Nothobranchius furzeri: one gene and its partner. The protein of the gene in region 1 binds, or shares a complex with, the protein of each later gene. Links are inferred from orthologs where the notes say so. Each region holds a gene or a part of one and is shown in the gene's direction. Other genes may lie near its edges.

What was found.
Region 2: supv3l1 (region 1) and pnpt1 share a complex: the UniProt entries of both Homo sapiens proteins name them as parts of the mitochondrial degradosome (mtEXO) complex. The link is inferred for Nothobranchius furzeri from reciprocal best matches to the Homo sapiens genes SUPV3L1 and PNPT1.

The regions. Positions count from the first base shown.
Region 1 is NC_091749.1:53,791,415-53,807,966, forward strand, and holds supv3l1 (ATP-dependent RNA helicase SUPV3L1, mitochondrial), read left to right. Parts: upstream 1-2,388; 5' UTR 2,389-2,527; coding exon 2,528-2,789; intron 2,790-2,923; coding exon 2,924-3,001; intron 3,002-3,079; coding exon 3,080-3,187; intron 3,188-3,282; coding exon 3,283-3,397; intron 3,398-3,523; coding exon 3,524-3,692; intron 3,693-3,931; coding exon 3,932-4,043; intron 4,044-5,801; coding exon 5,802-5,879; intron 5,880-5,971; coding exon 5,972-6,063; intron 6,064-6,152; coding exon 6,153-6,333; intron 6,334-6,423; coding exon 6,424-6,517; intron 6,518-6,628; coding exon 6,629-6,748; intron 6,749-6,834; coding exon 6,835-6,934; intron 6,935-7,001; coding exon 7,002-7,082; intron 7,083-7,534; coding exon 7,535-7,711; intron 7,712-7,822; coding exon 7,823-7,971; intron 7,972-8,102; coding exon 8,103-8,502; 3' UTR 8,503-9,034; downstream 9,035-16,552. Other genes in the region: hexokinase HKDC1, read left to right, coding at 10,045-10,107, 11,370-11,532, 11,633-11,790, 11,873-11,995, 12,094-12,189, 12,334-12,432, 14,421-14,605, 14,682-14,837 and 4 more. UniProt on the Homo sapiens protein: Major helicase player in mitochondrial RNA metabolism. Component of the mitochondrial degradosome (mtEXO) complex, that degrades 3' overhang double-stranded RNA with a 3'-to-5' directionality in an ATP-dependent manner.
Region 2 is NC_091752.1:26,268,664-26,285,215, reverse strand, and holds the start of pnpt1 (polyribonucleotide nucleotidyltransferase 1, mitochondrial), read left to right. Parts: upstream 1-5,779; 5' UTR 5,780-5,897; coding exon 5,898-6,016; intron 6,017-6,148; coding exon 6,149-6,209; intron 6,210-6,537; coding exon 6,538-6,612; intron 6,613-6,799; coding exon 6,800-6,905; intron 6,906-7,001; coding exon 7,002-7,051; intron 7,052-7,151; coding exon 7,152-7,215; intron 7,216-7,301; coding exon 7,302-7,349; intron 7,350-7,455; coding exon 7,456-7,569; intron 7,570-8,907; coding exon 8,908-9,094; intron 9,095-9,186; coding exon 9,187-9,238; intron 9,239-9,309; coding exon 9,310-9,367; intron 9,368-9,455; coding exon 9,456-9,552; intron 9,553-9,644; coding exon 9,645-9,747; intron 9,748-11,106; coding exon 11,107-11,177; intron 11,178-11,730; coding exon 11,731-11,767; intron 11,768-11,882; coding exon 11,883-11,949; intron 11,950-12,026; coding exon 12,027-12,116; intron 12,117-12,208; coding exon 12,209-12,262; intron 12,263-16,552. Other genes in the region: ccdc88ab (girdin), read right to left, coding at 583-683, 779-841. UniProt on the Homo sapiens protein: RNA-binding protein implicated in numerous RNA metabolic processes. Catalyzes the phosphorolysis of single-stranded polyribonucleotides processively in the 3'-to-5' direction. Mitochondrial intermembrane factor with RNA-processing exoribonulease activity.

The DNA.
Region 1 (16,552 bases):
TTTGATCAGGAATTCCCCTAAATGTATTTAAGGTATGATGTCAGCTTAAGTTTTGGGACAAAGCCTTGTGTTTGATACTATGTTTCTGTTTGTTCATGACTAACCTGTCAACTTTCAATTGTAAAGGGTTATTTCCCAAACATTTTAGAAAAGAGTTAGTTTGATGTTCAGCTATGTTTACACACAGACAAGATTGTTACTACCATACACTTGCTATCAGGAATCACCAGTCTGTTTTTTCTGTTTTGTGTTTCTTCTTTAATTGTTTGTCTCATTGAGCCCGATGGTTTGTTTATTTCATAATGTAATAAATAGCTCCTAGCTTCTATTGGATGCAGTGGAAAGGATGCACTTTCCACATACTGTAAAACTTATCTATGTTCCACTGTGATGCTCAGACCTGTGGTCTAGGTCCTGCTTTAAAGACACTGTTACCAGTCCCATGTGATGTTTGCCTTCAGCTCTGACTCATGGACAGTTTACTTCACTTTATGTAGAGAAGGTGCTGAAACTGAACATGAGTCAAAGACTGCTTACCTGGTTTTTGAGAGTTATCCAACTTATGTCACTACTTTAAGTTAACCTAATATATTTAGTGTGGCTATTTTTGTCTATGGTTTGCAATTCCTTTTTTCCTTTCATGTTGATCGATCTCAATTTTTGTTGTTTGGAGGCGGTGTAATTTATTTCAAAACAATACCCGACCCCACCACCACCACCCCTAACAGATTATTTCTGTCTTCATAAATACTGTCCTGGTAGGATTGGGGAGCTTACTTTAATTGCTGTCAGAAGTTGTGAGGAAACACTATAAACATGTTCTGTATCTCTTCTTTACTGCATGTTTGTCTTCTCATGCCCTTGTGTGTTTGAGCGTGTGCGTGTGAAAGTGTGTGTATCCTGCACACACACCAACCCCAAAAATATATAGCTGAAACAAATTATAAATAAAGCAGATTTATACTGAACTGGTTTTGAAAAACATCACTTTGCTTTTTATATCTATCTATATATTTATACTTTTTTGAAGGTTTTTTTTTATTGCTAAAGTAAAAATCAAAGATCGTTTATAATCACTGAGGACGAGTTTTTTTAAGAACTTTTATTGAACCTTTGCAAAACGAACAAAAGCGACTACATTTCAAAAATTGTTAGCAGAATGACATTACAGAGTAGCTCCGAAGTTCGTGTTCATCTCAACTTGCATTTTGTAGATACAATTCAACTTGGTATAGTAAGAAGACAATAAACAAAAACAACAACAAAAAAATAGAACATGAAAGGATACAAATAAGACAGCATGAAAAAACATATTATGTGTATATAAATAAAGTTTTACAAGGGGGAAGTTAAAGAGCAAACAAGGTCTATTGTGTATACCATCCAAAAAGCAGTTAGAGATTAGTGTCCATAATGAATTCATAAAGCTTTATAGCATTGGGGGTGGACATTTTACCCAAGGATCTCAATAGCAGTTTAATTTCATTTTTTAGATTATTCCACGTAGGTGGATTTTTGAGATATCAGCATTTGTGTATGAAAAATTTTGTTAAGATTATGAGATTATTAATTAGAAATTCATTATTTTTATCTTTTAGTATAATGCCAAATAAGACATCTTCAACTGTGAAATTGTTTATATAAATTTGATTGGAGTTCAGCCAATTGTGGAGTGAATTCCACATCATTAAAATTTGATCACATTCATAGAAAAGATGTTTGGTCGATTCATCGTTTTGTTTGCATAAGTAACATTTTTCCACATTGAATTTAAATCTGGTTTGTATAAAATGGTTAGATGGGTAAATATCATTCAAGGTTTTAAAATGTACTTCTTTATACTTTGGGGGTAAAGAGAATTTTAGATAGTTGGTTCTCAAAACTTTAATTTCTTCTTTTGAAAAATTTTGTAGTAACGAGAATCGGAGTATTGGGTTTGGATAAGAGGTTTTGTTTAATTTGTTTCTCAGGAAAATATTATTACATTTTTATTGAAAATTTCTATCCCATCAACTGCTAATATTTTGAGTCTAGGGTTAACTATATAACCGATAGAAGCTTTAACTAGATGAACCAGAGCACTCTGAGGACGAGTTGGTAAAGCAGATTTCTGACGAGCTACTTTGACGTCATCGGCAGTCGAAGGACCCCGAGCCGATTTTGCTCCAGACTTGCAGACATCTTTATTTATGCCTGTTTAATATTTGCCTACATTTTCCAATATTATTTGACCAGAAGCCTCATTTATTGTTCATTTATTCATATATAGCCGTAAAATGTTAACATAAATAATTATTTATAAATATATATAAAAATATATGTATTTATTTCGAATTTTTTGCAGGCATATTATCGAGCAGACTTCTCACCGCACGTTGTATCACAAGCAGCAAGTGAGTGTGTTGACCGTTCTCTGTTTGAGTTTATGTGTTATTTTTAAGTTTACACCTATGGGACGAGGGAGTAACTCTTTTTTTCATACAATACCATAAAGCTGATAGTGTATTCATTTAAACCGACCGCAGAGATGTCGGTAAACCGCTTCGTGCGTTTGTTTTCTCGGCTTCAACGCCACATAAACACTCGGACGAGCTGTCGGGTGACTTCTGGCTGTAATTTGTTACTTCGGCAACATCAAGCTAGTTCGGTGGTTTGCTGTAGAAACGTTTCTTCTAATAGCTCAAAATCAAATCCTCCGGACACCTCGCTGTTTGTTCCTGTCTCTTTGAAGACTGACACCTTGGATGATGGTAGTGTAGGAGCTGAGCTGACTCAACCCCTCGATAAAAGTAAGTCGGGTCATCAAAGTTATGCATCTCTTGGGACAAAACGCTAATTTGCTGTTAAATGGCCAAAATTAAACTGCTGCTGACAACGTTGCTGTGTTTGATGTGCATCTCCGTTCTTTAACCTCTGCCTGAAGGTGAACTGCTTAAAATGTTGAACCGGTTTTACAAAAGGAAGGAGATGCAGAAGCTGGCCGCAGACCAGGGTCTAGATGGTAAGAAAATAATACACTGTAAAGATATTACTTACATCAGACCACACGTTTCTCTCAGACGTCTGATGTTTTTTCTAGCTTGTCTGTTCCACCAAACCTTCATCAGCTTTAGAAAATATGTCCTGGAGATGACGTCACTCCCAGCTGATCTGCACATTATTCTCAATGACATCTGCTGTGGTGCAGGTACACCTCCCACGTGATGATTTTGTATTTATTTTGTGACCTACTGATTGTAAACGATTCATATTTAATTGCCTGTAATCTGTTATTTCCTCCAGGTCATACTGATGACATTTTCCCATACTTCCTGCGTCATGCCAAGCAAATATTCCCCATGTTGGATTGTATGGATGACCTGAGAAAGATCTCAGACCTCAGAGTTCCTGCAAACTGGTATAAATAACAAGATCATACCTCATTCCTTACATACAATATAATTAGCTCTGTGGCTAATAATCAAAGGTATCTGCCATACTCAGACTTCATTGTAATCTGCATGAGTGTTTTTATCTGCATCAGGTACCCAGAGGCTCGAGCCATCCAGAGGAAGGTGATCTTTCATGCTGGACCTACTAACAGTGGGAAAACCTATCATGCCATCCAGCGCTACCTCGCTGCGCAGTCTGGTGTTTACTGTGGGCCCCTGAAACTGCTGGCACATGAGATCTTTGAGAGGAGCAATAGTGCAGTGAGTAATCTTCATTTTCTTCATTATTGTTTAGCATAGAGAAGAATTGGGATTACTATTTGGAAACCCAAACTGAAAGTGCTTGATTTAAGATTTTGTCAAGAACCCTGCATTTGTTAAGTTTGTTAATTTCTCATTTTTATTTTATAATCCTGTCTCAATATATTTTTCACTGATCTGTGATCTGCTGTTTTTGTTGGGGTACAAATGACTCTTTGGGCTTGTTTGTACTCTCACAGAGTGTACCATGTGATTTAGTCACTGGAGAGGAGAGGACCTTTGTGGACCCAGAGGGTCGAGCAGCTGGACACGTGGCGTGCACCATTGAGATGTGCAGCGTCAGCACACCCTGTAAGTGGACGTTATGTGTACAAAGTGTTATGATGATGCTAAATCTGTGTGATACTATAGTCGTTATGTCCTCCAGCAGTCTTAAGCTTATAGCAGCATAGCTAAAGGGATGAGCCAGGCCAACACCAGCTATAGGATTTATCAAAAAGGAATGTTTTAAGCCTTATCTTAATAATCAGATGTGATATCATGGGGAAAACTTTAAACCAGAAGGTACAGGTACTTGTATCACACTTATGTCAGTGCGCCCCAGGGCAGCTGTGGCTACATCATAGCTCATCCCCACCAGTGTATGAATGTGTGTGTGAATGGATGAATGATACACTGTAGTGTTGTATCACTGTAGTGTAGGTCATTTTATCATTTATCATATGTGTGTGTGTGTGTGTGTGTGTGTGTGTGTGTGTGTGTGTGTGTCTGTGTGTGTGTGTGTGTGTGTGTGTGTGTGTGTGTTGCGGTGTGAAATATTAACTTAAGACTTAATTAATAACCCAAAAGTTTATTTATTACACAGAAGACTCAGTAAGATTCTTTTCATTTGATAAACTGGAAATGCAACCCGTTTCTGTGTTTCATTTCAATAATGAGGCAAGTTTAAAAATGAAGAAATTTATTTACTAACAATTTTAAACTAAAAGATTTGAAACGACAATCATAAAAATGACTATTCAGAAATGGCAATTTTAATGACAATCCTTAACAGTTTTGATATTACTTGTTAAAAGCAAACCTGTGATGGTTGGAGCTAAAATTGAGAATGATGGGTTTTGGATGCGTGAATGCGGTTCAGAAGGTTTCTTTTGGAGGGAATGGAAGGTGTTCTGGATGAAATGATGTTCGTGTTCTACCTCACCCAACCAGCTGACCCTCTTTGTGGATCCTGACATCGAAGGATGGGTTCATCCAAGATGACACTCGGGGCTGGCAGAGAAGACGCCGAGTGTCCGGTTGTCTGGTCCACAGTGGTAGCAGGGCACACGGCTGCACGAAGCGTTTGGCAGATGCACGTTTCGTCTTTTAACTTAACATCAGAAATCAATGACTCTGGGAGGGTCTTTCGTTTAGCTCGTTAGTTTCGTTTGTTCTTTAGCCATTCTGTCAGCGTGACAAGAACAGCAGGTGGAGGCTTAGGAGACGGCCGTTTCTCCTTACCTCGTGGTGTTGGTTCCAGAACTGGACGTGAAATCTGTGATGGTTAGATTTTACCAAACTCTCTCAGAACACTCCCCCTCTCTCTCCGGAAGAAAACTTGGTCATGCGTCAAAGAACATGTGCTGCAGTTATTGTTATCTGAACTCTGTGTTAGCTGACAGTGAAGGTCATCTTTGCTGAACACATCTTTAATCATTATAATAATTCATTATAATACCCAAAGCATAATAATCCATTTCATGTAATTAAGATACCTTTATAATGAGCAAAGTGATCATGTGGTAATGATTATTTAAACAGTAATAAAATCAATGAAATATTAATTATTATTTAATTATTATCATCGTGGCTTGAAGTGTCCTTCTTCTGCCGGAACAGCAGATACTGGTGTTATGATCTCGGCAGACATCGTGGCTCCTTGGGCTTTAATCTGTGGATTCAAAGTACTGTTTGACCCAGCTGGGCAAATGTGACCTTTGGCACAAATCAGAGAACCTTCATCACGCTACATGTGTGTGTGTGTGTGTGTGTGTGTGTGTTAAAAATAGTTGACTGTTTTAATAGTGACATTTAGTACATCACAAATAGAATTGTTTGTGTGTGTAGATGAGGTGGCTGTAATTGATGAAATCCAAATGATCAGAGACCCCTCCAGAGGCTGGGCATGGACCAGAGCGCTGCTGGGTTTGTAACACATCCGAACACACACGTTTGCATCGTGATTTAATTCATCTGAAGTTGATCTGAACTTAAACCACTCTGAATGGTTTTTGTAGGCCTGTGTGCGGAGGAGATCCACGTGTGTGGGGAACCTGCAGCTGTAGACTTCATCAGAGAGCTGATGTACACCACTGGAGAGGAGGTGGAGGTGAGACTGAAACACTCTGTAGAGCAGGAAATGCAAACTGCAGTGGTGGCCCACAGGAGACCTTCTAACATGGTCCCATCCATCCTCAGGTCCACAACTACGAACGCTTAACACCGTTCTCAATCTTGAACCATGCAGTGGAGTCTTTAGACAACCTGAGGCCAGGAGACTGCATCGTGTGCTTCAGTAAAAATGACATTTACTCTATAAGCAGGCAGATTGAGGCCAGAGGACTAGAATGTGCTGTCATTTATGGCAGTTTACCACCAGGTAAACACATCTTTGAACACAATGGTTTATTTCACTGTACATATATAATTTTAGTCTAATAAAATAATATTGGATCACTATTGATTCCAGGCACTAAGCTGTCACAGGCCAAGAAGTTCAATGACCCCGATGACCCCTGTAAGATCCTGGTTGCTACAGATGCTATTGGCATGGGCCTTAACCTGTAAGATTTGTCAACAAAAAGAGTCATTACCACACCGTTTTTATTTTATTTACAAAAAAACGACAGGAAGTTAAAGTAAGACCTGTATTTGTCTCTCTCTCTTCTGCTCAGGAGTATAAAACGAATCATCTTCAACTCTATAGTGAAGCCCAACGTCAACGAGAAAGGAGAGAAACAGATGGAGACCATCAGCACATCGCAGGCTCTCCAGATCGCAGGCCGAGCAGGAAGGTTCGTCTCTGGTTGAAGAAAACTCCCAGTGCAACAAGCCTTTTTTTGTCTCCAGGATTTTTCATACTTGTCTTTTTCCGTTTCAGGTTTTCCTCAGTTTTCAAAGAGGGAGAGGTGACGACCATGCATCGAGATGACCTGCCCGTCCTGAAAGAAATCCTCAGCCGCTCTGTAGATCCCATAAAGGTGATTATTTTACACACAAGAAGACACCAATGCGTTTCTTTTTGTTTAACCTGCTTGTTTGTCTCAGACTGCAGGACTGCATCCCACTGCAGAGCAGATTGAGATGTTTGCTTATCATCTGCCTGATGCTACGCTCTCCAACCTTGTGGTGTGTAAAAAAAAGCATCTAGTTGTTTATTGATACTTGAGTTAGGTTGTTTTTTTTGGTTAGAATCTGTTTTTTCAATTGATTAAAACTCATAGCTTGTCCTCCTGTCCATTTCCACACCCTTTTATTATCTCAGAAGGATGAATGAAGCTCTTGCTCCTGGGAGGTTCTTTTAGGATGTTGTGGTCCTTGCAAGTGAATGGATGCAGTTAACCACTCCTGCCACTAGAAGTCATCACATTGCACTTATTGGACTTTTAAACAACTGAATTATTGTCTTTGTGCACTAAATTTTGTTGCGTTTTCAATTTGCATGAAGTTTTTTTCATCAACATGAACATTGTTGAAAGAAACTGTGTTAAAGAGGAAATTATCCTAATGGTTGTATTCATGCATTTGACCCCAAACCACATTGTTTATAAATTACGTTCTGTTCCTTTTTTCCATCCCAGGACATATTTGTCAGCCTCTCTCAGGTGGACGGTATGTATTTTGTCTGCAACATCGATGACTTCAAGTTTCTGGCTGATATGATCCAGCATATACCGCTCAACCTGAGGTCGCGCTACGTCTTTTGCACCGCTCCCATCAACAAGAAGCAGCCGTTTGTGTGCACGTCATTTCTGAAGGTGAGACGAATTAGACCCACACTTGAAGGAGGGATGTCCTGAAGCAACATTTGGGAATTCTGAGTAATTTTACACATTTTTCTGAACAACTTTGTGATTCACTTTTTTCAGTTTGCACGTCAGTTCAGTCGAGATGAACCTCTGACGTTTAACTGGGTCTGCCGCCATATCGGCTGGCCTGTGGCTGCGCCCAAAAATATCAAAGATCTGGTTCACCTGGAAGCTGTTCATGATGTGTTGGATCTGTACCTCTGGTTGAGGTAAATGTTGTCATTTCAATTTCCCTGCTTGTTGTCATGGATACTGTTATGTCTAAATAAATAATCATGGATCAAGTTTCTTTAGAAACACGTGCAGGTTTAATCTCTTTTTTTTTACATCTGTGTTGTAGCTACCGCTTCATGGATATGTTACCAGATACAGCCTCAATCCGGGAAATCCAGCGGGAACTCGATGATGTCATCCAGACGGGTGTCCGAAACATCACCCGTCTGATCCGAGCCACAGACCCAAACATCACCGACCCGCTGCAGACGCACGGCAACTCGCTCGACCAAGCAGGGAACAGCAGAAAAGATACTGGCAGCACTTTTTTGACCAAGGGCAAAGGTCAGAGGGGCCCTGAAGGGAGGATAGACAGTTCACTGGCGAGTCGTCTGGTTAGAGACGGTCTGCTTACCCCAGATCTGCTCAAACAGCTGCAGAGGGAGTGGTCCCAAAGCAGCAGTCAGAGTGCCCTCCTCTCAGAACAAACAAACAAGAACAGCAAAGGGAAAAGAAAGAAGAAATGAAGAGACATCCCCATCGTGGTAATCTGGAACAGGTACAGGTTACAGAACTAACAATCTGGAATGAAGCATACAGACGTGTTGGATTATAGTTCAGTCTGGAATCAATTACTGGGTTGTTTTATCTTTGTTATTCTTCTCTAGCCTGCACACGGGCAAACTGAGTCAAGCTGGAGATGCTCGTCATTCCGGTTCCTCCTCACTCCTTTTACGTTTGTCTCTAATGAAGGAGCGGGTGTATCTGAAAAGTGATTCTTCCTTTTTTTTTGTCGACAGAATCACTTTTTAGGAGAAAAAATTACCTGTCATGAAACGGACCAGTTGGCGAGTAACAAACTGAAAGCAGGAATGTTTCAATAGACTTAACTGCAACACCAGACTGATCCATAGCTAGAAAACAATTTAAGGAGGCGTCAAACTTTTTATTTTACTCACTTTGAATCAGATTCTTTAGAACATCTGTTCATAAACCGTAACATGTTATATGTTTGTTTTTGTACATGTAAGCAGTTGTCAATAAAACATTTTAAAGGTTTTTGTTCAGTTTAATTCATGATGTTTGATAGAAGAGCTGCCCCCACCACCCATTTAAGACTTGGACCCTTTGGAGCTAATGTAAAAAATTTGTTTTAAGGTTTGAATTTATCATTTTTATCTTAAACATTTTACAATTTATGTTTTATTTATACAAATAAAAGTATTGTGTCCAATTATTTCAGTTCCTCTACTTATTGCTTAGAAAGTTTGATCAGGTCGGAGTCAGCTGAGGTAATTACCTTTAACCTGTAATGAGGTTTTTAATAAATAACTACTGGGGACAAAGCTGGGTTCATTAAATGTGTCCACACAATATAAATATATATAAACTCCATTAAGTTGTGACTTAAATATTGAATTTATATGTGTTACCTGATTATTTTAATAAATATAGCCACTGGCTTTGATGGTGTACAGGGGTGCCCAATCCTGGTCCTGGAGGGCCAGCATCCAGCAGGTTTTGTGGTTTTTCTGCTGCAACAGATGTGATTCAGTGGTTGAAACACCTGTGCAGCAGCTCATCAGGCTCTGCAGAAGCCTATGAATTAGCTGCTGATTGAAATCAGGTGTGTTGAAACAGAGTTCAAACTAAAACATGTAGGATACCGGCCCTCCAGGAACAGGATTGGCCACCCCTGGTGTAATAGAACGAACCTGCTGTGGTTGTAAAATGTCGTCGGATGCAGAGAATTGTGTAGATTCGCTCAAATATAGGCCTTTATCATTCTTACGCATGGCCATTGTGTAAAATAAGAGATTATGCAGAAGAAATCCAGATGAAACCGTAAACGTTTCAGTGAGACTTCAAAGAGGATGGGCTGTAAGGATGAGAAGGGTTTGGCTTGTTAATCATTAAGTTGGTGCAGAGGTTGGTCAACGCTCAGTGGACTCTAAACAGACAGTGACAAGACACGAAGGATTTTTCTGTTTTTAAATTATTTCCCAGACTGGTGCACAGCCTCCCATTCGAACCAGCTGTTTTTGTTCTGGTCCGTTCTGTAGATCAAGATGTTTGTTGCTCATCTTGTTTCTTTCTACTTCTCCAAACTTCAGGAGGATCCCACAAAGAAGGTGAGACTCGTTCTGGATGCAAAAACCAGTTAAGTTAGAAAGAGATTACCCTCTGTAACTAATGGGGAATCGACCTTATTGCTGTACTATTTTAAGAACTGCTTGTTTTTATAATGTTTTAAAAGTTCAGTTTTGTTAATTTATTTTTGAAAGAAGAATAAAAACCGAATTTGCTGCTAACTGACCTCAAATGCATTTTAACTGGATTTATCCAGAATTAAAACAAATTCTAATCTGCTCAGCGTTGCAGTCAGGCCGCGTGTCAAAAACATTCAACAACCACATTGCATGGTAACTTCACCAAGACCACCAGACGAGGTGGTCCTGTGGAAAGGTGCAGCAACCATTAGTTACTGTATTGCATATTTTTCTGTCCTAGGTAATGATTAATATCATCCTCTTGGATCGATCTAACTTCCTCAGAGATCAAAGTTCTGACACTCCCAGCTCTGATCCACACACACGGTCAAATTCAGATAGTCACGCATTAATAACACTGAACAGTCCAACATTGTTTCATAAACCTGTTATCACACTTTGGTTAATTGCGTATTTATAGTCATCTGTTTTAAGGCCCTCGTAATAAAACTTATTTATGGATCTGATCTGTAAGGATTTTGTGGACCCAAGACACAGAGAATGAGACACAAATGACATTAAATGAAACCAGAGTTGTTTTTTGTTTGTTTGTTTATTTTTGGAAGAAAAAATCTGCTACAAAAAACAAACTTGCTGTGAGAATAACCAGGAGTACACATGATCTGGAGAAACCAGGGACTATAGATGCTGGAAGGGTGGTCATAGACTGAGCCAAGGAGCAAAACTGAGAAATGAAACATGAAAAGGGGGGAAAAAAAAGATGAGCATGTAAAGATGAATTAAAACATCACTGACTTTAAAGCAGATCTAAGCATTCCATTTCTGTGCTTATTTGTCTGTAGAAGCGTAACTAATGAACAGACCCTTTTGTGTTGATTATCATTAACGCACCTGCACTTTTGATCCAAAATGTCTACTTTCTGTATTATTTTAAATCTCATATTTATGTTTTTTTGTCAAATTCACCATTTAAATATCACCTAAAATTTCAATATTTTCCTTAAATTACTTGTTTTTTTGAAAATGTTTTATTTATGAACCAGTATTTATTTACAAACATAAACCAGTATATATTTTTTCAACCGCAAAAAGGCATCATGAATTAGATCCTGCAACCCGTTTCCTTTCTGTTTATTCTTCCCTCTTTTTCTTTTTTTTTTAAGGTGGACCGGTTTCTTCATGCCATGCGTCTCAACGATGACCAGCTGAATGAGCTCTCGGCACGTTTTCAGGCTGAATTGAAGAAGGGGCTTTCTGCAGAAAGCAATGCAGCAGCAGCTGTAAAAATGCTGCCAACTCACGTTTGTTCCACTCCGGATGGATCAGGTTATTAGAGACGTTTATTTCCATAGATATTTGTGCATTTTGTTTATTTCAGAACTATGCTATTATATAATATTTCTTTCTTTTTTCCTTTTTCTTGCAGAGAAAGGTCAGTTCCTGGCTCTGGATCTCGGAGGCTCCAAGTTTAAGGTGCTCCAGGTTAAAGTAAGAGAATGTGTGGGCATTAAAAAGGGAGATGTGGAGATGGAGGAGAAGATCTATCCAGTACCAGATGAGCTGCTCACTGGGAGAGCAACAGAGGTCAGAAATGGATAACCACATAGATTTTAAGATTTAAAAAAGGCAGACTTTCTCTACTGCCTTATCTCCTCCTCATCTGCAGTTATTTGACCACGTGTCAGAGTCTCTGAAGGATTTCATGCATGAAAAGAACATCAGTCTGGAAAAAAAACACCCCTTAGCATTCACCTTCTCTTTCCCGTGCGATCAGTCCCGTTTGGATCAGGTACAGCCTTCTCCATACAGCATCCGGTTTCATAATCTGAACAAACTCCACAGGCCTGTCATTTCTAATCCCTACAAGGGATTGTTTTCACTCTCTAGGGAACGTTGTTGAACTGGAGCAAGAACTACAAGGCTCGAGGCCTTCAGGGGAAAGATGTGGTCCAGGCTCTCAGAGAAGCTGTTGAAAGAACAGAGGTAAGATGTCCCCCACATCTTTCATGGGTCTGATGATGACTAGTCTGATGTTTTAGTCGAGGATGTACTGTTTCTAATAGATCTTCCTGCGTTAAACATAGATTTAGTCTGTTTTGTGATGTTTTCTCATGTTTACCTTTGCAGGGTTTAGATGTAGAAATATTAGCAATGGTTAATGACACCGTAGCCACCATGATGACCTGTGGGTTTGATGACTCGTACTGTGAAGTGGGAATTATCGTTGGTGAGTTTAGAAAATCAAAACATCACCATTAAATTTAAAATGGTAAGCAGATTGTATTTCTATAGCACTTTCTAGGGTTTCTACAACCCCCCAAGGCACTTTACAACACATCCAGTCATTCACCCATCCACCAACACACACACACATTCAGGCACTGGTGGTTATGAGCTACAATGTAGCCACAGCTATACACTGATGGAAGCAAGGCTGTCGTGCACTGGCGCCAGCGGTCTCTTCGACCACCCTGATGAAATGATTGATTTTGTTATAACTGTTGTAGTTTCTTTATTTCATTTGACAAATTTTGCAACAACGTGTGACATTTCCTGGGTTCAAAAAGAGCCACTCACTGAAACTGCTCTGTTAGCAGTGACTGAATCCTTAAAAGAAGCTAGAGCGACTGCCAAATCCTCAGTGCTTATCCTGCTTGACTTATCGGCTGCATTTGACACTGTCAACCATGGCTTCCATTTGTCCACACTCTCTAGCATGGGCATCACAGGGAAAGCACACGCCTGGTTTGAATTGTACCTCACAGGACGATCATTCAGTGCATCTTGGCTTGGACAATCCTCTACCGTGCACCATCTTGCCACAGGAGTCCTCCAGGGCTCTGTACAAGGACCTCTTCTCTTTGCCATATACACCACCTCACTGGGTGAGATCATTCGATCACATGGCTTCTCCTACCACTGCTATGCAGACAACACCCAGCTCTATCTGTCACAACCACACTGTCTCTGCACGAATATCAAACAGTCTCTCTGACATATCAAAATGGATGAAATCCCATCATCTCCAACTCAACCTCTCTAAAACTGAACTACTTGTCATCCCAGCAAAACCATCCATACAGCACAATATCTCAGTGCAAAATGACTTCCTATCTCTGGCTCCTTCAAAGGCAGTTTGAAATCTGGATGTTGTTATTGATGAACACCTGACCTTTAAAGATCATGTTGCCTTTGTTGCCCGTTCATGCCGCTTTGCGCTGTATAACATACGAAAGATCAGACCATACCTAACACAACATGCCACCCAGCTCCTGGTGCAATCTACTGTCATCTCCCGCCTCGACTACTGCAATGCTCTTCTAACTGGTCTTCCAGGCTGTACTGTGAGACCTCTTCAAATGGTCCAGAACGCAGAGGCGCGTCTGGTCTTCAATCAGCCAAAAAGAGCACGCGTCACCCCTCTGTTCATTGAGCTCCACTGGCTACCGCTAGCAGCACACATCAAATTCAAATTGCTAACACTAGCATACAAAGTCCGAGAAGGTACGGCTCCCATCTACCTGAATCCTCTTGCAAAGGCTTACGTCTCGGCCCGGCCGCTCCGGTCATCACAGGATCGTCGGCTAGCAGTGCCTACACCACGCTCAGGACAATCCAGACTCTTCTCGTGCATCGTTCCACAAATGTGGAATGACCTTCCAAGCACTACCAGAACTGCGGCTTCCTTTTCAATTTTCAAGAAACTCCTGAAGACCCTGCTCTTCAGAGAGTATCTTCTTAACTAGCACCTTGCCTGCACCCGTCCCCCCTCTCTACTGTCCACTCCTTGCTCCCTCCTCTCCATGACTGATGTCAATTTGTTGTTGTTACTATTGTTGTTAGCCTCAAGGGCAATATGCCGATTATCAATTGTAAGTCGCTTTGGACAAAAGCATCTGCTAAATACATAAACATAAACATAAACATTTCCAGGCAATTAGGAATTTGTTTTGCAGAGAGAGAGAGAGAGAGAGAGAGAGAGAGAGAGAGAGAGAGAGAGAGAGAGAGAGAGAGAGAGAGAGAGAGAGAGAGAGAGAGAGAGAGAGAGAGAGAGAGAGAGAGAGAGAGAGAGAGAGAGAGAGAGAGAGAGAGAGAGAGAGAGAGAGAGAGAGAGAGAGAGAGAAACTGAGTTATATTAACCTCCATGGCAGCAGACAACAGGGGCTTTGTTATCACTGTGCCGTGAGTGTGTTTTGTGTGTTTTTATGTGCATGGGCACCGGCACCAACGCCTGCTACATGGAGGAACTTCGTCACATCGACCTGGTGGAGGGAGATGAGGGGCGGATGTGTGTGAACACTGAGTGGGGTTCATTTGGAGATGATGGAGCCCTGAAGGATTTCCTAACTGAGTTTGACAGGGAGGTGGACGCAGCTTCCAGCAACCCAGGAAAACAAATGTTTGGGAAACAGATTTCTTTTCTCATGTTCTCGTGCCGTGTCTCCTTTCCTTCTGACTTTTTCTTTAATCTGCAGATTTGAGAAGATGGTCAGTGGGATGCACCTGGGGGAGCTGGTGAGGCTGGTTGTGTTAAAGATGGCCAAACTAGGAAAGCTGTTTGATGGACGTGTGTCAGATGCTCTGAGGACCAAAGGGAAGATAACCACTGCAGATGTTGCAGCAATGGATGAGTGAGTAAAAACCAAAAGGGAGATCATCTTTTCTGTTTCTGTTTAAAAATTGTTAGTACTAATTTTCTTTCCTAGGTACAGAAACGGTCTTAAAAACACCAAAGATGTTCTAGATGAGCTTGATTTGAACCCATCAGATGACGACTGCATCGCTGTTCAACATGTCAGCACCATCGTGTCCTTCAGGTCCTCTAATCTGGTGGCTGCAGGACTGGCTGCCATCTTGACTCGAATCAGGCAAAACCGTAATATGGGAGCGCTGAGAATCACCGTAGGTGTGGATGGTACCGTGTACAAAACACACCCGCAGTAAGCTGTTTAACTCTGTTCTCTTGTTTGCATAATGCAATTTGGCATTTCTAGCTCTCTTAGTGTTTTTTTTTCATTTAAATCTTTTGAGTTTAATATCTGAAACAGCTTGCTAGAACATAAAATGTAAAGCACATCACGTTTTGTGATGCTTATTTTCATATATTGATTGAAAATGACACACTATGGCTGTCCTGTGACATTGAACGAAACTGGGGCAGCAGTAGCTCAACAGGCTGAGCGGGTTGTCCAGTAATCGGAAGGTTGCAGGTTTGATCCCGGCTCCGGGCCTTGCATGCTGGTGGTATTTGGAGGGACCGGTGGCGCCTGTGCTCGGAAGCCTCACCCCTATCAGTGCGCCCCAGGGCAGCTGTGGCTACACTGTAGCTCATCACCATCAGTGTGTGAATGTGTGTGTGATGAATGATACACTGTTGTGCAAAATGCTTTGGAGTCCTCTGACTCTGAAAGGCGCTATACAAATGTGGGTCATTTATCATTTAAACTTCCACATTGCTGCTTTGCTGTTCCACACTGACATTGCCTCTCTGCTGTGCTTTCTCAGGTATCCCAAACGCCTTCACAAAGTGGTGAGGCGGTTGCTTCCCGAGTGCCAGGTTCGATTTGTCCTCTCAGAAAGCGGCAGCAGCAAAGGTGCTGCCTTAGTAGCAGCAGTTGCACAACGTCTGACATCACTGAGACGACAGGTTGGATTGATGGCGTGCATTGTTAGATTAACTAGAAAAAAGCAGGCTCACAGCGAAGTACCTGCATGTCCTTATCAGTGGTCGAGCCTACTACTGACTGATGAACACAGACCAGAGCACCATCTAGTGGCAAAGGCCCTTCATTGCTACTTGAACCCAAACACAGCATCTGAAGCCCCGTATCTCTGGTATTCCAGGTTTCTGAGACGCTGTCTCTCTTCAGATTAAAGGAAGAGCAACTCCAGCTGGTCAAAGCCAGGATGAGATCAGGGCTGGACGCAGGACTGAGGAGTAAAAGCTCCTCCACCATAAAAATGCTGCCTTCCTTTGTTTACCTCACGCCGGACGGTACAGGTATGGAAACTAAAACTGACATTACCCTTTAAGGATAGGGCAAATTCCACTTTTATCATAAAAGAACTAATATCTTGACATTTCATTCATTTTTCTAGAGCGTGGGAAATACCTCGCCTTGGATCTGGGAGGAACAAACTTCAGAGCTTTGCTTGTGAGATTTAAAAAGCAGACGTCCAGACTTTATCATAAAATTTACACCATTCCACTAGAGATCATGCAGGGAACTGGGGAGGAGGTAAGAAACACCTCAAGCATTTTATTAATAGTACAACACTGGGTCAGTAGAACATTTATAAAACGCAAAATAAGATCCTTAGTAAGATTAGTGTGTTCTTTGTTTTC
Region 2 (16,552 bases), on another chromosome or scaffold:
CATATAGAAACGGTCTCAGGAAAGAGACAAATTCGACATGCAGTCCTTCACAAATCCAGCACTGTCAGTAGATCTTACAAATAAGCTACATTTTCTTTAATTAGATAAAAATAAAACGTGCTCTTGTTTCCCTGCACCATCCAAGTTAAAATTTTCATGCATGGTGTGTGTGCTGGGAAGAGTGTTTCTCCTTAGGATTAATCAACAACACAGCAGGGTGCAGCTTCAAGGGAATGAGTCTAGTTTTCTGCTGAGGCATGCTGCATCCATGCAGCTGACACCGGTGTACACAAGCTCAAAAGACATCTTAAGTGTTAATATATCTGACCCACTCCCACCAACACAGGGTCCTCTTTGTGAGCAGCCTCCATTCAGCTCAACTGGACAGAGGCTGCTGTCTCGTGTAAGGATGACCATCATTTTAACCCTCCTCCACTATAATAACAATAAAACATGGACTGTAGGTTGTTGCACATCTCTGGTTTGATGTCTGCATGCCCTCAATTGGCTAATTCCGTGCCTCTATGTAGGCCAGCTCAGAGGACTGACCGGTTCGGCTCTCCAACTCTCAGATTTACTTACATCTCCAGCATGAACTCGTTCAGGTAAATCCCATCCACTAATTCCATATATTCCGATAATTTACTGCCATCGCTCACTGTCGACCGCCCGACGGTCTTCACCTGGAAAAAGAAAGGAGTGCGATCAATTAACAGGCGAAATAAGGTGATTGTTTAATGAGTCAACACTCATTAGCATATTTAATTAGGGTGCTTACCCAGCAGACCAGAGGGGTGAGCATGAACTGCTCCAGTAATGGGGTGAAAACCTCGTTCTCCATATTTAACCTTCAGCCGTTTGTTCAAACAAATTGGGATTTTTAAAAAATGATTTAAACTCCTCTCATGTTGATAATTCCACGTTTTAATCCAGGCTTTACTTTACGAGGATTTAAAAAATAATAATAATCACTAATTTTCTCAAACCGACCCAGCTGTTGGAGATGCCGCCGACGAGACTTCTTCCTGGGTGGGAGAAGAAGAAATCACATTTTTGTGCTCAAAAACCGCATTCCCTTAAGGTTTTCTGTTATTTAAGGATCAGTCCGCGTTGCGTTCAATATTTAAACGACGAAAAGAGATGAGAAATAATCCTAATTCGGGTATGTAAAAGAAGGTCCAGCTGCGAGGGAAAAATAAACAGATGTTGCAAATCCAGCTTCGGAAATGATCGGGTTCCACCTCATAGTTTTTTGTTGTTGTTGTTTTTTTAAATAAAGTGACTTCCAGACGCGGATTCCTGGCTGTCTGCGTCCAAACGCCGCACACCACCGAGCTGCTGCTGGAGAGTTGAGAGGATGACTGGAGGACACGTAGAGCCGCGCCTCCCTCCCTGCGCATCTCCCTCCTCCTCCCAAAGAAAAGTAGGGCATTAATCAAAGCGTTCCCTTTCTCCTCTGATTTCCTCTGAGTCATAGAAAAAAGATCTTAGTCAACATGTGAACAAACAAATAAAATAAATTCACTCATGTTTGAGTGCGAGTAATGGAACCACTTTGTCTCAAAAGAAAAGTGAATGAAAACTCCAATCTTGTGATTCATAACCTCAGTGTGTAATACTGACTATTTAAGTGCTTATTTGGTTTAACTTCCACGCAGAAATGCAGGGTAACAGTGCATAAATGCACTTCCTTTGTCTGCCTCTGCAGCATGCATTAGACATCATAATGGAGGTAAAATACTGACACCTGGTGGGTTATGTCACAGATCACTATATAAACATCTAAAAAAAAAAAAAAGGTTGAAAATATTCAGATCCTTAGAAGGGGTCTGTGGGGATGTTGAATAATGCATTTCCTGTTCCAGATGGTTCTTTAACAACCTCAGTTTGGGGAAATAGAGAATGAGGCCCAATCCCAATACTCGCACTGTGCCCTTCTGTGAAGTGTGCTTGGAAGAAGTGCACAGCAAGGCTTCGAGTGTGTGGTGCACAAGTGTGCAAATGATTGCAGAATTTGGACAGGGAGCATTGCGTCATCAACCGTCTGCTGGTCACTGTGCTACTTAAAAAAACTTCATTAACTCATTAACTGCCATTGACGACAAAAGTCATCATTTTAAATCCAACTGCCAGTGACGACTAAAGTCATCATTTGCATTTTTTTACTGTGTGGGCGTAGGAATGAGCCCCCGCAACGTGAAAACAAACATCTCAGCTCGCTGATCTTCATCTGTGTATGTCACACATCACATGATCAGGAATTAGAAAATCCATGTGTTAGGAGATCTTTTTGGGCCGCTGCTGTAAAGAAAAAGGCACGAACCGTAAAAGCTTCACAATTCAACAACGGATTATGAAAGAACGAACAGCGCTCGAAACACGCAGATTCATCCTGATGTAAGAAGTGAGTCTACTCTTTGTTTTGGTAGTTTTGACGTTGACATCACCCTAGTGCGCAACGTTCTATGACTCTTAAAAATACAGTGAAAATGCTGAAAAACGCCGGCAGCAACGGGCTTTTCTGATCAGGAAACGGGAGGCAATGAATGAGTGAACCAAACAAATATTTGACAAAATTTACATTCATTGCTATCCACATTAAATCTTTGTCTAAAACATTCAGAGCATCAATTAATCGTCCTAAAATGAACGACTTTCCTAATAAAATACATGTTTTCAGAAAAGGCATTTGAGCCTTTGCTCCCACAGCAATGGATTGTGGGTAATTGAGAATCGGGGCACCCTACGCACTCACACCCCTGGCTGGGATTGTGCAATTGAAGGGCACAAGTGTGGAAGTGCGAATATTGGGATTAGGCCTAGCACATGAAGATGTTCTGGTCAGCCATTTTTCAGAGCACATTTTAGTCCCTAGATCAGGGGTATTCAATTCCAGGCCCAGAAAGCCGGTAGCCGCACGTTTCAGTTGTTCCTCTGCTCCAACACACTTGATTCAGTGGTTGAGTCAACTGTGCAGCAGCTCATCAGGCTCTGCAGAAGCCTGTTGATCACTCGCTGATTGAAATCAGGTGTGTTGAAGCAGGGTTAAAACTAAAATGTGCTGGATACCGGCCCTCCAGGTCCGTAATTAAATACCCCTGCCCAAAATGGTACTAAAGCATTTGTCAAGCCTCCCAAATAAAACACCATGGTTGCTCCATAACCTGAGGGTTGCGGGTTCAAGCTCAGCTTAGTCTGTCGCAGTCGTTGTGTCCTTGGGCAAGACACTTCACTGCATTTGGCAGTCTTCTCTCCTGTCAGTGTTCCCCAGGGCAGCTGGAACATGTGACTCCTACTATTTAATAAAAAAAAGTAACGCATAAAAACACTTGGAGTGAATAAGATAACTCACTGGTGAACAAATTAAACTGAAGACTGAGTTTGTGTTTATTGAATAAACTCCTATAACAGGAAGTCCCAGTCATGCAGATGCTAAATACAGATTTTAAGACAACACCAGCAGAAAGGTCATGTGATCTAATTAATAAATGGCTATTGCTGGAGCAGTGATCATGTGGTCAAATAACCTATTAAAATGTAATGACTGGTTCAGATATGAGAAATAAAGAATTGCTCTGGAATCTGATCAGAAATAAAGAATAAGGATTTGGATGGAACTTTAAAATACTTTCAGCAATCCGTGTTTGTAAAGTAATGGTTTATTCCCATTTTTAATCAGGCTAATGGGTGCTGTTGTTAGTGCTTTTTAGAGCATTTAGCAGACTCGTTGTTTTTTGAGAATCAAGAGAATTGATCTGACATATCAGAAAGTTATATGCTCATGTTTATAAGGTTTATGTAAATTAGTAATTTATTTCAAACCTTTTCTGAAGAAACCCATGCTCTTTTCTTCTAACCCCATCATCTCAGCAGACCACTAAACCCTGACGCACATAATGAAAATCTTTTATGGCTGCTTCCCCACACACAGCAGCCTGAACGTGACCATTTTCTGCTCTGCCACTGTTGAGACATTGTTTGAGTTTCCCTTAAGCTTGGGTTGTTTCTGATTGTGTGTTAGCATTTATGTGCATTGGTGGAGTTTATTGCCCTTGAACTGAACGGGGGTGTTCATTCCTTCCTCATTAGTATCTGGGATTCATGCTGCCATTTGGGAGTTTTGTCACAAAGCGGCACTGACTTTTACCTGATGACTCAGTTAGTTGGCATTCTTTATTATTATAACCACAGTAATACTCATAGAAAGGCATTCTCTTCTCCTATATGTTAAGTTTGTCAATTAAAACTATTATTTCTGAGGCATCACTCACTGAGGAACCAGATTACCACAAAGTCCTGCAGACAGTTTCACAAAAATGTGCGATTTATCACAAACATTTCTATTTGTGGTTCAAACTAGAACAGAAATTTCTTCTGAAAATTCAGCCCACAAAACTCTTCCTTAAAGTCGTGTATGTTTTTCTGGTTGTGTAAAATTCCATACAACAAGAATGCACAGTCACAATTCTTGTGTTACTGCAGGAAAACCATTCAGCCCAGGAAAAAATTGACTGGTCCTTTACACAGTTTAATATCCCACTGCTCTGCTTGATTCAAATAAGTTGTTACTGTGTCCCTGGAAAAAAAGAGACAATACTGTGACAGCTCTTGGTAATAATAGGAATGAGAGGTTGTGTGCGTCATACTCAGTGTGCAAGTGAAGCCGTGCTGTTTTCCTCTGCAATTAGCTGCCAAATGTGTGTGTGTGTGTGTGTGTGTGTGTGTGTGTGTGTGTGTGTGTGTGTGTGTGTGTGTGTGTGTGTGTGTGTGTGTGTGTGTGTGCGTGTGTGCGTGTGTGTGTGTGTGTGTGCGTGTGTGTGTGTGTGTTCCACTTAGAGCTAGGAATTGGATGCTGTTAATACTCATCTGTTGTCATAACAACTGCTGGAAGCCCACTTTTAGAGGGATTGCTCCGTGACTGGAGGTTGTTTGCTGGAAAATTAACTTCCAGAATGGGTGAAAATTTTCAAGGGAAGCTCACTGAAAAGCTGACAGACACAATGAGAAACAGTTCCTTGCTGATATCTCAAAGCTAACAGCAATTGAGATTGTAATATCTTGCTCTGCTTGAGCAAAGCCTAATCTGACTGGATGTGTGATAGCTGAAGCACATTTTATTCTTGTGATCTTGTGTCGCAATAGATGTGTTTTTATAATATCCTGACACCTGTTGGAGAAAACTTTATGTTACGTAAAACTGTTTTTGTGTGACCCACCCCACATTGCTTAGTCTACATGACCTTGCCTTTTTTAGTATCATTTTTTATTTTCTGTAAAATCTTTATAATTGGATTATTTTAAAGCAATTTTAAAAAATGTTAAATAAGAGTAAGATGTGTATTTTATTTTCCGGAGTAATGGTGTAAAATAACAATTAACATATAAAAGCCTTCTAAATTAGAAAAGGGGAAACTATGGTTAGATTTTCATGAATAAGTGAAATGGCAGTAGAACCATTCTGAATTTTAATTGTAAGCAAACTGCCCAAAATAAATGTTATATTCTAATGGAACAAATAGAGCTAAAAATGACAGGATTTGAAAGAAAATATGCATTAATCTTTATATTTTAGATCCACTTTTGAATCCACACCTGCAAAAATACGAATTTTTGCGCTTTTGTTAATTTATAAAGTAATTTACAAAGCATATCATAGCGTTTCTCTTTTTATATATATTATTCGTAATCTTCACAGGAACTACATACAAGCGAAGTAGCACCGACGGGGTTTTGCTGTAACGCACGTTCTCTCATCCGACCAATCAGAAGATGCGGCATCTTGACGTAATTCCGTCCATTTGACCGACTGTCATGGAAGCCCTCGTGCATGAATGTAAACCGTGTGACTGCTCTGTTTAAAAGCGGGAGCGTTTCTTTTGTGTTTTATTCCGGTAAATATGAGGTGTTTGCTCCGACTGGGCCGCTCGTTCGGCCACCTTCGGGTCCGGTTATGTCACCAGAGTGTTTACAGCAGGAACACAAACCTCCGGAGAGTGGGAGTGAACCTTGGAGAGAAGTAAGATTCGTTTCTCTGACATTCTCTGATCCGACCAGACTCTGTGTGATTTTCATCTAAGATTGTTTATATGCAGGATGCGCAGAACTGGGTTTGTCTCAAAGGTATTTAAGTCTGATTTTGCTTTTGTAGAAAACTTGAAATCTCTTCGGGGAAGTTTGCAAGGTTTGCTGATGGTGCTGCTGTGGTACAGGTAAGTCCAAAAGATGCTCTTTGTCATTGCTCATTCATCTTCCTATTTTAATCTCAACGGTGAAGTATGTGGTATATATTGTTGAGTAATATATGTAATATTGAAATGTCTTCTCTTGGGTCCCTTTTTCCTCTTCCAATATTTTTGCTGCTTTTTCCTGTGATTTATCGTTATACAAGAAGATTTTTAAAAAAGCGTATTTAGATATTTTTGTTTTGAGTTGTTTTGGCCATTTTGAAATCAAGTCATTGTATGATTTAACATATGTAAATGAAGTTTATTGAGTGGTTTCCATAGTAACTGCCTCTACCTTCCCCTCTCCCTTTAGCTGGGGGACACCTCTGTGATGGTGACTGCTGTGAGCAAAACCAAACCTTCTCCATCTCAGTTCATGCCACTTGTGGTAAGGTCCCATCCGTGTTTTTATGACAGCGTGAATCTGTTATCACCGTGCTTATTTTTTACTGCGTATGTTCCAGCTACATGAGGTCTAAGAGGATTTTACTGAAACTGTAAGCCTTAGGACTTGAGTGGTGTCACAAAATGCTTCTTATGTGCCGTGTGAGTGAATGTATGCTTTGTTTTGGCAGGTGGATTACAGACAGAAGGCTGCTGCTGCAGGTCGAATCCCAACCAACTATTTGAGGAGAGAACTAGGCACCACTGATAATGAGATCCTCACCAGCAGACTCATCGGTGAGCTGAAAATGAAACTTTTGCTGCTCTTCTTCTTTATAATGGTAACGTAGAGTCAAAATTTTTAACTGACCTCTTCATGTCTCTGTTGATCAGATCGGTCGATTAGACCTCTTTTCCCTCCTGGCTACTTTTATGACACTCAGGTAAATTCATATTTTAAAAGTTTGAATGTATCATGTAGTTTTGTTTTTGAACAAACATGACAGTCAGGATTTCTTGAAAATATTTTCATCTCTTCTAAAGGTCCTTTGTAACCTCCTCGCAGTTGATGGTGTAAATGACCCAGACGTGCTAGCTATTAATGCAGGTAAGAATACACCTTATTGCTTTACGTTTCCTAATACGTACGGTGCTTTAAATTTTTAGTTGACGTGTTATTTTCTCTCATTGAAGCTTCTGCTGCTCTGGCTCTGTCTGACATCCCTTGGAATGGCCCCATAGGTAATAAAACAACTTTGAAATGCATTTCTCCTAATATCTTCCATCTTCTTTACCTATTTGAGTTTACATGACTTTGTTTGAATTGTGACTTCTCGTGTGTTTCCAGGTGCTGTACGAGTTGGTATGGTTAATGGAGAGTTACTGGTGAACCCGACAAGGACAGAGATGGCTTCCAGCAGTTTGAACATGATTGTGGCTGGGGCTCCTAGCAGTCAAGTGGGTAAGGATGCAAAAATACCCACTCCACTAGTAGTAGTAGTAGTAGTAGTATTAGTAGTAGTATTGTAGTAGCATTGCAGCTTATTAAGAATGCTGCTGCTTGATAACCAAGCACATCGCCCGGTTCTTAAATCTCCACTCTGGTTACCAGTAAACTACAGAATTTATTGTAAAGTACTTCTACTAGTTTATAAATGACTCTGTGGCATGGGGCCAAATTGCATGTCTGATGTCCTTCCGGACGGACCTGGTACCAGGTTCACAAGCACTTCCAGCAACAAAGTTGTTCAAAAAACATGCTTAATATTCACCAATATATGTCAACTGCACACGTACTTAACAGGAAGAGGCTCATCTAAATGATAAAATCCATGTTTTCTACCTCAACTTCACCAAATTCACAAAATGACGCTAAGTAGAAAGCAAAACAATGCTAATTTAATGAAGTCAAAAACATAAATTCAGTCTTGCCTTTGCTGGTTTATGGTCATAATAATCCGTGTTATAGTGAAAAAATCCACTTTGTTTGTGTAATCCTATCACTCAATGTCCCACTGACCTGATTGCTGACTGTTTTTGGGCTGTTTTATATGCTGGAGAGTGTTTACAAGTCTCCAATGCTACATTCCACCATTTTCTGGTTGTCCATAATAAAAAAACTCAATGAGGGCTTCTCAGCTGCTCCACAACAAACAAAGAGCAGTGAGCTAAAAACAAACCAAAAAAATGGTGAACTGTGGAGAGCTTCTGGTCCCAGGTGAACATCCTGATCTGTGGATTGGGAAGCAGACCAAAGCGGGAGCTTTAGTGGTCCAATCCCCGGACAAGGAAACTGGCTATTGAGACATGGAATATCACCTCTCTGGAGCTGGAGGTTGTGGAAGAGGCTGAGTAGTACCGGCTAGATAAAGTCAGACTCACAGTTCTTGAGACGAGTTGGACTCTTTTCTTTGTTGTAGTTACTCCAGGTGAGAGGCGGAGGGCGGTGGTTGGCTTTCAGTTAGCCCCCAAACTCTCAGCCTGTATGTTGGAGTTTACCCCAGGGGTCAAGAGGGTCGCTTCCCTTCCCCTTCAGGTCAGAGAACAGGTCTTGTCTGTTGTTTTTACTTATGCGCTGAATACCGATGCAGAGTACTGTTGTTTTTGGAGTCCCTGGGATGAGTGCTAGATGATGCTTTGACTGGGGACTCCATTGTCCTGATGGGGGACTTCAATGCTCACGTGGGCAATGACAGCATGACCTGGAGGGACGTGATTGGAGGAATGGCCCGCATTCTGAGTACCTTTATTTTCCAGCTTTGCACGTTTCTAATCAGTTTGTCTTCTACGTGTGTTCCAGTGATGATTGAGGCATCGGCTGAGAACGTTCTGCAGCAGGACTTCTGCCGTGCGGTAAAGGTGGGAGTCAAACACACCCAGCAGATCATACTGGCCATCCAGCAGCTGGTGCGGGAGCAGAAAGTCATCAAACGCACGCCAGTCAGAATGTTCTCAGTCCCGACTGACATGGTGGAACACGTCCAGAAGTAAGAACACATGCACAGTGGTTTTCTGTTGTTTAAATGTGATAAAGATGGCAGAAGGGGGTAGTAAAACATGTTATTTTATCTTCCTTTAGATTGGTGTCTGAGAAGATCCATGCTGTTTTCACAGATTACTCGCATGATAAGGTAAAGCTTGGAATCCATTTTGTTTGTTCAAATTAAAAAAATGTTCATGAATGATTCTAATCTTGTTTTAGATTTCGAGAGACGAAGCGATTAACAAAATACGACTAGAAACTGAGGAGAACTTTAAAGGTGGGAAACCCTTAGTATTTATTTTAAAGCCACTACTTTTACCTAATCATATATATAAAAGTTATAATTGATGTTTTTGTGTGTGAAGAAAAATTCCCTCAGGCGGAGCCCTTTGAAGTCATTGAATCATTCAATGCTGTGAACAAAGAAGTTTTCCGAAATTTAGTTCTCAGTGAGTACAAGAGGTACGTTTGTCTGTACAGGATTTCCAGAAAAATCTCAACGCTTCATTTCAAAACGTGACTTGTGTAAACGTTTTTTCCCCGTTTTTTTAAAGGTGTGATGGAAGGGAACTGACGTCTTTAAGGAACATATCCTGTGACATTGACCTCTTCAAGCCGCTCCATGGCTCAGCTTTGTTTCAGAGAGGACAGACACAGGTTTGTAAAAACATCATTTCAATCAATTGTTGTTTTTTTTAAGATGGCTTAAGCCAGAGCTATTCAAGGGCTGGTATCCAGCACGTTTTTTTTTTTGGTTTGGTTTTTTTTTCTCTTTTTATTTCATTCAAAATAAAAACAAATAAGACATATAAACAATAAGAAATACATAACAAAAAAAAAAAATAAAATTTGAACGAAAAGGAGCAGAATGAAGAAAAACATCTTATAGTTTCTGCCCCCTTTTCCAGAAGAAATAATCAATTTATATACAATTTCCATTTGTCCGACACACATACAGATTCATTTTAAACTTTTTCCTGTTCTAAATTCCAGTGCGATCATGATCATTGATTTAATTTACATTTTCATAATTATTTAGTACACTCAACTTGGTACATTTTTTGAATATATTAAATGACAGAGTGTTTTAATTTCCCTTTTAAGGTTATTCCATAATTTAACACCATTTACAGATATATTCCATTCCTTAATTTTAGTTCTAAATCCAGGTTTTGTAAACACATCAGTTTCTTTCAGCATGTAATTACTACTTCTCTTTTCAAATATCCCCTGAATGTTTGTTGGCAGAGTACCTAAATTGGCTTTATACATGGTTTGTATGATTTTCCAGTCTTTTAAATCATGAAATTTCAGTAATTTATATTTAATAAACAATGGGTTCACTGGATCTCTACAGCCACTATAACTGATGATTCTCAGAGCTCTTCTGTAAAATAAATAAGGGTTATGTATAGTTTTTGTATGTTTCTCCCCAGATTTCTACACAATAAGTCAAGTATGGAACAATCAGTGACTTGTACAATGCCAACAAACAAGAATTAGTCAGTAAAAACTTGACTCTGTGTAATACTCCTAAGGATTTGGCAATTTTACCTTTTATGTAACTAATATGGGATTTCCATGTCAACTCTTCATCAATAAGAACTCCAAGAAATTTAGTTTATTTTACTCTTTGAATTTCAATCCCATCATTTTAGTTTTAACCCTGCTTCTACACACCTGATTTCAATCAGCAGGTGATTAACAGACTTCTGCAGAGCCTGATGAGCTGCTGCACATGTGATTCAACCACTGACTCAAGTGTGTTGGAGCATAGGAACAACTGAAACGTGCTGGATACTGGCCCGAAGTTGAATAGCCCTGGCTTAAGCTATTAGAACCCCGACATTTTGGCGACCACGAAAGGACCTTTGATCTTTCAGGCTCCAACAATGCCATGTTTTATTAGAAAAGAGAAACGGCTCTAAAACTAATGGAAAAAAAAAGAGCTTGTTGCATCTAAAAGCCATTTTAAATAAAAATGTATGTATCTTTATGGTCTTGCACATCCTGTAGGTGCTCTGCAGTGTTACATTTGACTCCCTGGAATCAAGTGTCAAAACAGACATTATAACCACTGCTCTCAGGTGACGTAAATTCATTTGTTTATAAAGTTAATGATCACTAGCTAATATTACTGACTTCCATCTGTTTGAACAGGAATTCTAATTACATGTTTTAATGAAAACATTTTGCTAAGTCAACATGTTCAGTACTTAAACATCCTACAATATTTCTCCGTTTGCTGATGATACCACAATATATTTGTACTAACCATCTGCTGTAAAACACACCTCAGTTAAATCAAGGCGTTCTAAAGGGCAGTGTTTAATAAAGTAAACTCAAACAGTTTTATTTACAACAAATCTATCAATCTAAGTGACTCATGGGTTTGATTGTGATAAATCTGTTTTTTAGTATTATGTGATGCAATGTAATCTGTATATGCTTAATGGGAGTGGGAAGAAAAGTAGCTAACGTAGCATGCTGTGTTAGCTAACAGGGATCAAAACAAATAAAACACTGTTTTGAATTTATGGAAATTTAAACTTTAAGCCACTAACATTTTCATTTTCATTGTATATTTTATACAGATTAGGAATAATTTAGTAATTTGATCACTATTTTTTTCCTCTGCAGTGGCATCAAAGACAAAAACTTTATGCTTCATTATGAGGTGAGTAAATGCTGTTGTCCTTTTCTCTGAAAAACCGAAGGAAAAAATATGATTTTTCTGTTTTTAGACATTTGTTCTCAAATTATCTTTAAAAATCAGGTGGTTTTGATTTCAGTTCCCTCCTTATGCAACAAACGAGACTGGGAAAATGGGAGGTCTCAACAGGAGAGAGCTTGGGCATGGTTTGTTTGCATTCATATCCTTATATGTATCTCCCACAAGCAACACCACCAGTGAAAGTGTTTTTGTGTGTTTGCAGGAGCTCTGGCTGAGAAGGCTCTTAGACCGGTCATTCCTACAGATTTCCCTTTCACCATCAGGGTCACAGCAGAGGTGCTGGAGTCCAACGGTCAGTGTTGAGATGCCAAGTGTTTTTGTAAACAATCCCGTAAATGTCTGCGTATTAAGACCAGACATCATCTCTTCTTCTCCTTCTCCCAGGATCCTCCTCGATGGCTTCAGCGTGTGGAGGCAGCCTTGCTCTAATGGATGCAGGTACAAAAATGGGAATGCTCTAGATCAGTGATTCTGGTGGGTCCTCCTGACCCAAAATTGGGCCGCGGAGCCGATTTTAGTGAGTTATGGCTCTTTACCAGGGCAAAAAAATTTTTTAATGAGACATGCAGTTTTATTTTGAAGGGGAACTTTTTGTCCCTTGGCCTGAATTGCAGTCTGTTCCCACTCCTCTGCAGCAGGTGGTGATAGGGGGTGCTAATTGCTTCCCGCATTTTACAACACAAAGTAGGACACAATGGTACTCAACTGTAGCACTTTTATTTTAACATTTGTACATGTACATGAATATGTAGACGCTAGCGATGTCCCGATCAGGTTGTTTGCCCTCGAGTCTGAGTCATTTGATTTTGAGAATCTGGCGATACCGAGTCCCGATCTGAGACTTTCGATACATAAAAAAATAAATTAATTAATTAAGAAAAGGAAGAAACTGTTCCAGAATGTTCCTTATTTTTTATTTTTGGGTGGCAGACTGAGGCGGGAGCCTTGGCGGTCCGATCCCCGGACAAGGAAACTGGTTTTTGGGACATGGAACGTCACCTCGCTGGCGGAGAAGGAGCAGGAGCTTGTGGCAGAGGTTGAGCAGTACTGGCTATATAGCCGGACTCACCTCGACACATAGCATTGGCTCTGGAACCCAAGTCCTTGAGAGGGGTTGGACACTCTCCTTTGGTGGAGTTGCTCCGGGTGAGAGGCGGAGGGCTGGGGTTGGCTTTTTGTTAGCCCCAAGACTCTCTGCCTGTGTGTTGGAGTTTACCCCGGGGGACGAGAGGGTAGCTTCCCTGTGCCTTCGGGTTGGGGAATGGGTCCTGACTGTTGTTTGTGCTTATGGGCCAAATATCAGTTCAGAGTACCCACCCTTTTTGGAGTCCCTGGGAAAAGTGCTAGATAGTGCTCCATTAGGGGGCTCCATTGTCCTGCTGGGGGACTTCAATACTCACGTGGGCAATGACAGCATGATCTGGAGGGGTGTGATTGAGAGGAACTGATCTGCGAGAGCCTGATCTGAATTCGAGTGGTGTTTTGTTATTGGACTTCTGTGCAAGCCGCAGTTTGGCCATAACGAACACCATGTTCGAACATAAGGATGCCCATCGGTACACATGGTACCAGGGCAGCCTAGGTCGCAGGTCGATGATAGACTTTGTAGCCGTATCATCTGACCTGTGGCCGTATGTTTTGGATACCCGAGTGAAGAGAGGAGCGGAGCTGTCAACTGATCACCACCTGGTGGTGAGTTGGATCAGATGGCAGGGGAAGATGCCGCGTTGACCTGGCAGACCCAAACGCATGGTGAGGGTCTGCTGGGAATGCCTGGCAGAGGAACCTGTCAAGACGGTCTTCAACCCCCACCTCCAGCAGAGCTTTGAACACGTCCCGAGAGCAGTGGGGGACATTGACTCCGAGTGGGCCTTGTTCCACTCTGCGATTGTTGAGGCGGCTGTTGCTAGCTGTGGTCGCAAGGTGGCCGGTGCCAGTCGTGGTGGCAATCCCCGTACCCACTGGTGGACACCAGAGGTTCAGGGAGCCATCAGGCTGAAGGAGGCCTACAGGGTGTGGCTGATCTGTGGGTCTCCGGAGGCAGCAGACCGGTACCGGATAGCCAAGCGAGGTGCAGCAGTGGCAGTTGCCGAGGCAAAATCTCGAACGTGGGAGGAGTTTGGTGAGACCATGGAGAAAGACTATCGATCGGCTCCAAAGAGGTTCTGGCAAACTGTCTGGAGCCTCAGGAGAGGAAGGCAGCAACTCGCTCACACTGTTTACAATGGGGATGGGGAGCTGCTGACGTCAACTGGGGGTATAGTCAAATGGTGGAAGGAATACTTTGAGGAGCTCCTCAATCCCACCTACGCACATTCCAAGGAGGAACCAGTGCCAGGAGACCTGGGGATGGACTGTCCAATCTCGGGGGCAGAAGTTGCTGAGGTAGTCAAACAACTACACAGCGGTGGAGCCCCGGGGGTGGATGAGATTCATCCTGGGTATCTCAAGGCAATGGATGTTGTAGGGCTGTCATGGTTGACACGTCTCTGCCACATTGCGTGGTCATCAGGGGCAGTTCCTGTGGAGTGGCAGACCGTGGTGGTGGTCCCCATCTTTAAGAAGGGTGACCTGAGGGTAGGGCTGCAACAACGAATCGATAAATTCGATGAAAATAGATTACTGAAAGCGTTGGCAACGAATTGCGTCATCGATTTGTTGTGTTGCGCAACTCTTCCAAAAGCCCCCCCCCCCCCCCCCCCCGGCCACCGTTGCGCACAGACCGGATGCAAGTCAGATCAGTGCGAGGGAGAGCCGGCAGGTGTTCGGAAGAGGAACATGGCAGAAGCAGCAAGACCCAAAAAAGTAAAAACTTCTAAAGTTTGGGAGCATTTTCAGTTAAATCAGGCGAAGACATTCGTTACCTGCAACGTTTGTAGGTCAGACTTAGCATGGCACGGGAGTACTACAGTGATGATGCAGCATCTTAAACGCAAGCAAGTCAGAATCATCAGCGAGGAAGGGGAGAGCTCTGTGTCCGGGTAAGTTAAAAACTTTTCAAAAGTGATTCACCCAAGCCCCGGATTATTACACAGGCTAGACATGCCCTAAGCTTGTAAAAAAAAAGGTCTATAAAATCGTAAACGCGACGCTATTAGATAAACGGGGGGGGGGGGGGGGGGGGACTCGCGCTGCTGCGAACCGGTTCCGCCGTCACATTCCCGCAGAAACTGGTTGACTACACCGGGGCCAGACTACTAGCACCACACTGTCCTCAGAAGCGAAAACGCTTTTAAAAGGGAGGGAGAAGTACTAACTCTCGCTGCAGGCGTGTTGTGTGAGAGTGCAGTTATATACTGGTTAATATATTTTTGGGTTCATTTGCTTTCATGTGGCCTAATGTGAGTCTATTTGGGATCATTGGAATGATCAGCAGCATTTCTTGATGTGACTTTATGGCAGTTGCCCACATCACAAGGAGGATGGCATTCATTTACTTTTGTTTTATTTGGTATTTTTTCAGTCATTTTTGGAAATAGTGATTAATTTTGATTAATTCACAGCCTATGTTTAATTACATTTAAAAATTAGTTGTTTGACATCCCCAGTTATAATAAATGTCTACAGATGAGATCAAACAAAACAGATGAGAATTGCCCTTAAAGAGCAAGTCACCCCCAAATAAACATTTTTTTTGTTGATAAACTAAATAAACGAGTGTCTAATCCTGCTGCAGACACGTGTCGTCAATAATTTGGAACTTCAGTGCATCTTAGTTAAAATTTAAATATTCTGCCTAAAACTGGCAGTGTTGTGCCGTTGTCAGGTAAAAACTCTGCACTGTATTTTAATTTAAATCTGCCACCGCTATTGGCTAAGAAGTATGCTATGATGTAAACTGGTACATTATGATGTCACAATGCTGTCGTGAGCCTGAGTGTGTGTGTATTTGTTAGTGGCTCCGCCCTCTCGGTCTGCCAGGCAACAGCATGTGTTGTATTTTTCAAACACGAAGTGGGAGTGGAGTTAGACTCTGGTAGGGGTTGACTTGCTCTTTAAGCTGTTTAACTTGGACCAAGCATTTTAGGTCACAGATAGGTGTAGCTTAGGGTCTCTGTCTATACACCTTATAAGACAATTTAGGTGATGGCATGTTGTTTTTCTGCTATTGAACTGTTTTCTAATAATGTTGTGTTTAATAAAGTGAAGGAAGGAGAGAAATAACGTTTCCCTAGCAGTTTTAAACAATGTCCCCATGTAATCCGATTAATCGATTAATCATGTCGAGACCCCATCCGATTACTCGATTATCCAAATAATCGTTTGTTGCAACCCTACCTGATGGTGTGTTCCAACTATAGGGGGAATCACACTCCTCAACCTTCCTGGAAAGGTCTGCTCCAAGGTACTGGAGAGGAGGGTCCGATCGATAGTTGAATCTCAGATTGAGGAGGAGCAATGTGGTTTTCGTCCTGGCCATGGAACTGTGGACCAGCTCTATACCCTTGCAAGGGTGATGGAGGGGCATGGGAGTTTGCCCAACCAATCCACATGTGCTTTGTGGATTTGGAGAAGGCTTATGACCGTGTCCCCAGGGGCACCCTGTGGGGGACGCTACAGGAGTATGGGGTGGGTGGCTTTCTGTTAAGGGCCACTCGGTCCCTTTACCAGAGGAGCGTGAGTTTGGTACGCATAGCCGGAAGTAAGTCGGACCTGTTCCCGGTGAGGGTTAGACTCCGCCAGGGCTGCCCTTTGTCACCGGTTCTGTTCATAACCTTTATGGACAGA